Danio rerio: one gene and its partner. The protein of the gene in region 1 purifies or fractionates together with the protein of each later gene. This does not show direct contact. Links are inferred from orthologs where the notes say so. Each region holds a gene or a part of one and is shown on either strand. Other genes may lie near its edges.

Region 1 (3,852 bases):
GTTTAGCGTGTTTCCTCATTAAACGCAACGAAAGCGTATGCTTCGCGTTGTTGTGTCAGAATCCTTATGAAATACAGTAATACTTTAGGACGCTTAGTTTAGGAAGCTTAGCAAATTTGATGAACGTGATCATGCGATTAATCGCGATAAATTTTTTTTAAAAAGGTGCGATTAATTAGTTAATTTTTTTTTATCGATTGACAGCACTAATATATATATATATATATATATATATATATATATATATATATATATATATATATATATATATATATATATATATATATATATATATATATGTTTCATAAGTGCTTTGGAATTCATTAATTCATTAATAAAGTCTTTTAAATGATATAATTTGTTATAATAAACTGTTATAATAGAATAAAAACACGGTAACATTTTAAAATGTATGCTCATTCACAAATCTTTGCACAATCTGTCCATACATTGGCATTGTTCATTTCAGTAAATCTGGATATACTAATAGAGTCATGCACATTTTCAGAAATAAAAGCTAATATGTTAAGCTACTTATATGTAACAATAGAGATAATTCATACAAAACTAAAAATTCTGTCATCATTTTCACACCCTTTACTTATTCAAACCTTTATGAGGTTCTTCTGTTAAACACAAAAGAAGGAGAAACCTTTAAACCACTCACTTAGCATAGTAGGACAAACAAATACTGTGGAAGTCAATGGTTACAGGTTTTCAACATTCATTAAATCTCATTTTGTGTTCAACAGAAGAATAAATCTTATACATTTTTAAACCACTTGAGGGAGAGTAAATACTAAACAAATGTTTATGTTTTGGTGAACTATCCATTTAATAAATACAAATTGCAAAGTTATGTGATGGTTTAATGTAACTATTACAATGTTTCGTGGACTGTCATGAAGTACCTGTTTTGATCTGTCTGCCATCAATTTTCAAAGCCTCAGATTTCTCGTCCTTAAATGAAAAGAGAGCATTTTGTTGCATTAGAATGGAGAACAATCTTGAAAAACAAGATCATTTAAATGCACAGCAAACCCAGTGCGAACCTTGATATCAATACAAAATTAAGAAACAACAACACAGGCTCGTTGGGAATATGTGCCCAGAGCTACATTATTGGAAACCTGCAAATACATGTCCTGGCATACGAACTCTACTGGACGGTATGATGGCGCAGAAATCTTCTGTTACTTTTCAAGCTACCTGCACGATCAGTTTGCTCAGTAGCTTACCTTGTATGGTGTAGGACTTGGCATGTGGAGTACACCAGGGTTTGAGTTCGGTTCCAGAAACCAGGTTAAAAAAAACAGGACATTTTATCATGGAAGTGCACAAGAAGGATATGTAAATGACACGTATGAAAAAAAGTGCCCCAGTAATGTATTTTAGATTGTCAAAAATATACATGGCGGCCTTTAGTGGATTAGTGAAAAAAACACCAGCAGACATAGCCCCGGGCACACATTTAACTGTTCCCAAAACTGTAGCCCTGGGCATGTATCTCGAATGAGCCTAGGTTTCTAAAACTCATCAAAAATGCAAAATGTTTTGATGTCAAAACCTTGACTGATGCTCTTTTGACCACCAAAATAACAAAACCACAAGTAAAGTGTTAAATTTGCATGTTTTTGATGTCATTTTGACATCAAGGTGCCCGCTAGGAAGGCCTGAATTAATTAGCAGAAGTGCACCATTGGTTCGGCATCAGAGTCGTCCTCTGATGGGCTGTTGTATTCCCTCCTCTTCCTCTTCTTCATGGGCTTCATCATGTCATGCTCACGATACATCACCTGTGCTTCTGCGAGGCCTGCAGGACTGAAGCATCAGCACAGTGTCATCTGTCTCCTCATGCATTCAACACACTGCAAAAAAGGCTTTCGTACTTAGACTTTGATTATAGTCCACATATCTAAAAATTATTAAAGGTGCAGAATGTTTGACCCTCCGTGGTTTAAACCATGATTTAAATAAAAGCAATGCCACGCGATACTGTAGACAGTATTTTTGGCTTGTCTAAAAAATGTTTGTTGATTTAAAAAACTTTTAGATATTTGGACTAGAAACAAGACAGAAACTCCAAGTAAGAACAGTGTTTTTTGCAGTGCACATGTATAATCTATGAGTAGAACAGTGTAGTGAATTTACATTTCCGACATCGGCTCTCCCCGTAGCTCCGTCATGTGCATGTTTTGGCCGCACCTGCTGTGAACGGGACTGTCCTGCACCTCTATACGAGCTCTGTGCAGTCTGTCGGCCTCCAGAAATGCTGCAGGTCTGCCATTGCCACCGGCTGAGACGTCTGTGGTCAGAACACACTGATGTGACGCTGCCATTGGACAGACAACTACTGACAGCTGCTCTGATTTTAATGTTACAGGGCCAAGAATCTACTTGTGCATAGAGCATAACAAAAAATGCTTGAATATATTCATTGTTTAAATAAAAAAAATTACACTTAAAAATAAAAATAATTCAATTTTGCATACTCTTCAAAGACAAATTTAAGACAACACTTACATAATTTTATTTGCATACTCTTCAAAGACAATTTTAATTTAACTCTTAAATAATTCTATTTTGTAAACTCTTTAAGGACAATTTTAATTTAACTCTTAAATAACTCTATTTTGTATACTTTTTAGACAATTTTAAGACAACACTTAAATAATTTTATTCTGTATATTTTTCATTGCAGTGGAGCAGTAGGTAGTGCTGTCGCCTCACAGCAAGAAGGTCGCTGGGTCGCTGGTTCGAACCTCGGCTCAGTTGGCGTTTCTGTGTGGAGTTTGCATGTTCTCCCTGCCTTCGCGTGGGTTTCCTCCGGGTGCTCCGGTTTCCCCCACAGTCCAAAGCAAGTGTGCCGCAAGCCTGCGTTTGAGTGAAGGTCTCAGCCGTTAGATCGCCCCCTGGGGGCTGGCTGCAGTACAAGTCATAAAGCCCGCCTCCTCCGTGTTAATGTAGGAGACTTGAGCCCAAATAAAAAAAATGTATTACACTTGCAATAAAATGTCCCGAAAGATGGTTCTGGTCGATAAAGGCACTGGTTATTGTGCTGAAATAGGTGCAGATCTTCATTTTTGTAAACAGTTTGTTTTTAGCAGTAATTTAATGCTGGGCGTGTCATCGTGATTGACAGCTGTGATTGACAGTTACTCAAAGCAGCGCGTCTGAGCTTCGGCAGGAGACTGAAGTGTTATTATTCGATTTCTGTGTTATTTTACCATGACAAAATGAGTTCAGCAGTAAACTATAGTTTCTGACATACATGATCCTGGTGGAACACTGTATATTCGCTAAGGTCAGGGCTTTTTTCGGGCTTTATTAGTTTGCTGATACACGCCTAACCACCCAGATAGCAAAACACACTCGGGCCAGTTCCGGCTAGATTCTCGCCTGCCGGAGACTTAACGTACCCCTCAGAGCTCAGACTGAGTGTGTAAGTGTGTGTGTGGATGTTTCCCAGAGATGGGTTGCGGCTGGAAGGGCATCCGCTGCGTAAAAACTTGCTGGATAAGTTGGTGGTTCATTCCGCTGTGGCGACCCCGGATTAATAAAGGGACTAAGCCGACAAGAAAATGAATGAATGAATGAATGAATTTGTCATTGCTAACTTTAAGCCAACTCTTAAATAACTCTATTTTATATACTCTCAAAAGCCAATTTTAAGACAAAACTTAAATAATTTTATTTGCATACCCTTCAAAGACAATGTTAAGCCAACTTTAAAATAATTCTATTTTGTGTAATCTTCAGTGCTAACTTTAAGCCAACTCTTAAATAACTCCATTTTGTATACTCTCAAAAGCCAATTTTAAGCCAACTCTTAAATAATTCTATTTTGTAGAG
Region 2 (4,435 bases), on another chromosome or scaffold:
ACAGGCGACTGCTGCAAATTGTGCTTTAATGTTTGGCTGGTCAACTGTATGGTATGGAAACCTTATATACCTGCTGAACCCGTCTCATACAGCTCCCATTGCAAGGCTTAGACACTTTGTAGAGAAGAATTTAACACAACTGCCTCTAGGAGTCGCCAATGGAAATAAAACAGACACGCACAAAAAATGTGCGTACGCCAGCCAGAAAGCTGCCGTGAAGCTGCGCACATTCCCACGTTCAGTTCATTGTTAGTAAATCCAAACGTGAGCGATTCTGAGCGTGAAACCTGGCGTACGCAAAGTTTTTGTGCGTACGCAGCGTTGATACATGAGGCCCCAGGTGATTTTACAAGAGAGTTAAAGGTAAAGGCCTACAAGTCTTTGGATGCCTACAACGTTGTTCTGTGTGGTCATGTGCTAGAAATAATGATCCATGATTACCAGATTCAAAACTATGTAGTGCTAAAAACCGAGGTTCTGCCTAGCCAAAGACAAGGAAAGAAGACGGAGCTGTACAGGGCCTGGGTAATCATCAACAAGCAAAACTACTGCATTCTGACAGCGAACTTCACCTGTACGGCAGAGTATGTGAATGCACATGTTTACATTTCATTCTAAGCATTCAATGTCCGCAGTTAAATTCACCATATATAACCGATTTTGCTGAAATCATTGCTGCAATCAAAAACGAGTAATGTGTATAATTCATAATAGCGTGAACTTACCTGATAGGAAATGAGAACTGCAGAGTCACGCATTTTTAATTAGGTCCTCACTCCATTCAGCTCTTATAATGGCTGTTAGCCAATAACATCTGCGGTTAAAAGCAGTGTGGTGTACAGTAAAAGTTACGTTTTCTATTTTTGGACTTACAAATTTGGTATCCTATTGCACAAATCGACATGTTTGCTATTGCAGCTGGTCCTTTTTTGCAACCACTATGCGCGGTTAAACCCTTGTGACGTAAGTTGGTAATTCCCCTATAGTGCATGTGTTTGGACGGTGGGGAAACCAGAGCACCCGGAGGAAACCCACGCCAACATGAGGAGAACATGCAAACTCCACATATAAATGCCAACTGACCCAGCCGAAGCTTGAACCAGCGACCTTCTTGCCGTGAGGTGACACTGAGCCACTGTGTTGTCCCAAATAATAATACAACATATATAAATAAATACAATAACAAAAATGAACAAATAAAATAAATAATAAACAAAGCAAAATAAGTAGCAGGGCAGTTGAAGCCCACAAATTAATTATCTTTTATCTCTCTTATTGTCTTCAAATATATCACAATTTTTTGAATTTTTGGGGAAATCTTGAAACATGTACATTTATGAATATCAAATATCAACAAAATATTTAGAATATAAAATAACCCCAAAAAAACCCCGCGTAAAACCTGCCTGCTTTCACGCGCTTCCTGGACGCAGCTCTCCGATTGGTCAGACACCCGGACGTGCGTCACGGGATAACAACATGTCCGCGTTCATTTGAAACAGAATAGTGTGCTCGGTTTGCTTTTCACCGCATACTTTGATGAGTTTGTACGTTTCTCCAAGTGAGCAGGAGATTGCAGAGGGAGAAGCATCTGTTAAAGGGAAGGACCGCACTCCAGGACTGGAAGATCGACTATTTGTTATTATCAGGTGAATATCGGAGCGGATGTTGCTAACTTAGCTGTAGCGCCGCGGCTAATGCTGACAGCATGACAGACCGGGTTTATCATGAAGTTTTACATATAATTATCATCAGAAAAAGAGCTCATGTACAGTGTTATCTATGTTTTTACTTACTGATTTATTGAAAGGGTTAATCGCACATCATAAATATATCTGCTAACGTTATTTGGCGAACGATAATGAATTGAATTGTCTCTTAATGTCGTATTTTTTAACGTTACTTATGAAATTGCGTGAACAGTTGATGTGCAAGTACATACTGACAGATATTGAGCTAAATTAGGGTTTATATTCAGACTTTTACCATTTCAATATAATTTTCAGAAAAGTATTCTTTGGTAATTCTCAAAAGGGAAATTACATTAGCTGCCAATGTCTATCAGTACATCATTGTTACTGATGTCTTTGCATTGTCTTCTATCCATCAGTGACAGTATATCTTTTTAAATCAGATTCATTTACAACATTTGGTTGAAACATTTAGTTTCAGTTTGCTGTTTTGTAGTTTAACATTAAAACAAACTACCCCCAAAAAAACTGCCTCTCTTCTATAAATGGATGGGGGGCCACCTTTTGCCTGCGGGCCCTAGTTTGGGCATCTCTGATATAGGGACCGTGTTCAAAATCTTCTGAACTGAACAAATGTGCGAGTATAAACTTTACATCAGTCTGATAGATTGACAAAAGTAACCCTAATATATGACAGACATATATGTGACAGATATTTGAGCAGACAGGCTGTGCAGGCATGAATATTTGGCAGTATATTTTTTGTAATGTATTGTAATAATGATTATATATGTACAGTTGTATAAAATATATTATCCCACCTACGAAATGAATAATTTTCCAATCAAGTGTTGTTAAACGGGGTAAAAATCTTTTTAAAACTTTTTTTCCCCTATCATAATAGTTTTAATAGCTAATTTTTTTGTTTTTGTTGTGATGACTGCATATTATTTTAGTAGTTATTTTGTAACAGTATTATTCAGCTTAAACTGCAATTTAAAGGCTTAACTGCGTTAATTAGGTTAACTAGGCAAATCACTGGATAACCATGGTTTATTCTGTAGACCAGTGGTCACCAAACTTGTTCCTGGAGGGCCGGTGTCCTGCAGATTTTACCTCCAACCCTAATCAAACACACCTGAACAAGCTAATCAAGGTCTTACTAGGTATACTTGAATCATCCAGGCAGGTGTGTTGAGGAAGTTGGAGCTAGACCCTGCAGGGACACCGGCCCTCCAGGACCGAGATTGGTGACCCCTGCTGTAGACAATCAAATTTTAGTTTTGTAATGTGGCTAAAGTTTTTACATTAAGAAAAGATGTGTATTTTCAATCCAGCCGAACTAAAAGGAATACGACTTTCTTCAGATGGAAAGTTCTTGCTCTGTTAAACATCACTTGGAAAATGTTTTAAATATATAATAAAATTTTCTTATTGGAACTATAGTCAACATTTGAAGCAGATCAGCAAAGTTAATCCAAGTTGTCCTAAAACAAGGGTAGGTATTGTTTAATCCACATTTTGATAGCTTTATTAAAAAAGGAAACAAAAATGAATATACAGTTGGGGAAAATAAGCATTGAACACATCCTGTTTTTTTCCTAGTAATAATATTTCTAAAGGAGCTGTTGACATGGAATTGAAGTAGATTTTGATTATAACCCAAATAATACAAACATAAAAATTAAACAAAACAATCTGATAAATGAGTTATCTGTAATAACAATGAAATGACACAAGGAGAAAGTGCTGAACTACTGAAATGTATTTAATGCTTTATATAAAGATGTTTTAGTGATGGCAGCTTAAAGACGTCTCTCATATGGAAAATAAAGTCGCATGCATTGCTCAGGTGTGAGTTTTCTCACAGACTTCAACAGAGTGTGAAATTCTTGATGGTTCTGTGGGTCTCGATTGTCAAATCTGACCTTTTTTCTGTATTTTCTATCGGATTCAAGTCAGGTGATTGGCTGGGCCATTCTACAGCTTGATTTTCTTTCTCTGAAAGCATTTGAGAGTTTCTCAGCTGTGTTTTGGATCATTGTCTTGCTGAAATGTCCACCCTGGGGTCCGTTCTTCGTACCTCGCTTAAATGATCTAAGATGATTTGGCAGATCCTGGATCTTTTAATCTTGATATCTGATCTCTCGCTAATTTGGTTCTTCAAACAAGTTCGCGAATCAGATTAGAATGTCTGGATGAACTGATCTGAGATCGCTGCGTGTGTTATGAAGGACAGATCTATCGATCCTCGAAATCATGATCAGCAATGCAACGATTGGCTGACGGCACAGCAGCGTAATGACATCATCTGATTAATATTCAATTATCCATGTGAGCAAAATTACATCAAATTAGCAGTAAACGGTTTGTGAAATATGACACGCAAGGACTTTCCACATTTGTTATGAGCTGCTTTACACTTTCATTTGTCAGGACAAGAGTATTCATCATGTATTTCCATGCAAATCAATGTATTTAGTTCTTCATTTAGAAAAGATTTTCTTTATTATAGTAGCAGTTTTTTTAATCGGTGTAAAGAATAACTGGTTGTTTACAAAAGCATTTTCATATTGGTAAAGGTGTCTGCAACTTTTGTGAAGCATCAAATCACTGGCATATTAACTGTCAAAACATGTTTATGACTGCATTAATGTATTATTGCTTTAAAAAAAAGTCACATATTCTGCATTTCTATTATACACAATTTGTACTAAAGCGATTTAAAAAGTTCATATCAATAA

Evidence for each region. Proteins that work in one complex are often made in the same cells at the same time.
Region 2: the proteins of l3mbtl1 (region 1) and anapc1 purify together in Homo sapiens (affinity purification with mass spectrometry; 4 studies listed by BioGRID and IntAct, counting the BioPlex papers as one, with this or other methods). This does not show direct contact. The link is inferred for Danio rerio from reciprocal best matches to the Homo sapiens genes L3MBTL1 and ANAPC1.

The regions. Positions count from the first base shown.
Region 1 is NC_133198.1:4,293,720-4,297,571, reverse strand, and holds part of l3mbtl1 (lethal(3)malignant brain tumor-like protein 1), read right to left. Parts: intron 2,306-3,852; coding exon 2,152-2,305; intron 1,822-2,151; coding exon 1,698-1,821; intron 961-1,697; coding exon 912-960; intron 1-911. UniProt on the Homo sapiens protein: Polycomb group (PcG) protein that specifically recognizes and binds mono- and dimethyllysine residues on target proteins, thereby acting as a 'reader' of a network of post-translational modifications.
Region 2 is NC_133188.1:50,698,538-50,702,972, forward strand, and holds the start of anapc1 (anaphase-promoting complex subunit 1), read left to right. Parts: upstream 1-1,466; 5' UTR 1,467-1,649; intron 1,650-4,435. UniProt on the Homo sapiens protein: Component of the anaphase promoting complex/cyclosome (APC/C), a cell cycle-regulated E3 ubiquitin ligase that controls progression through mitosis and the G1 phase of the cell cycle.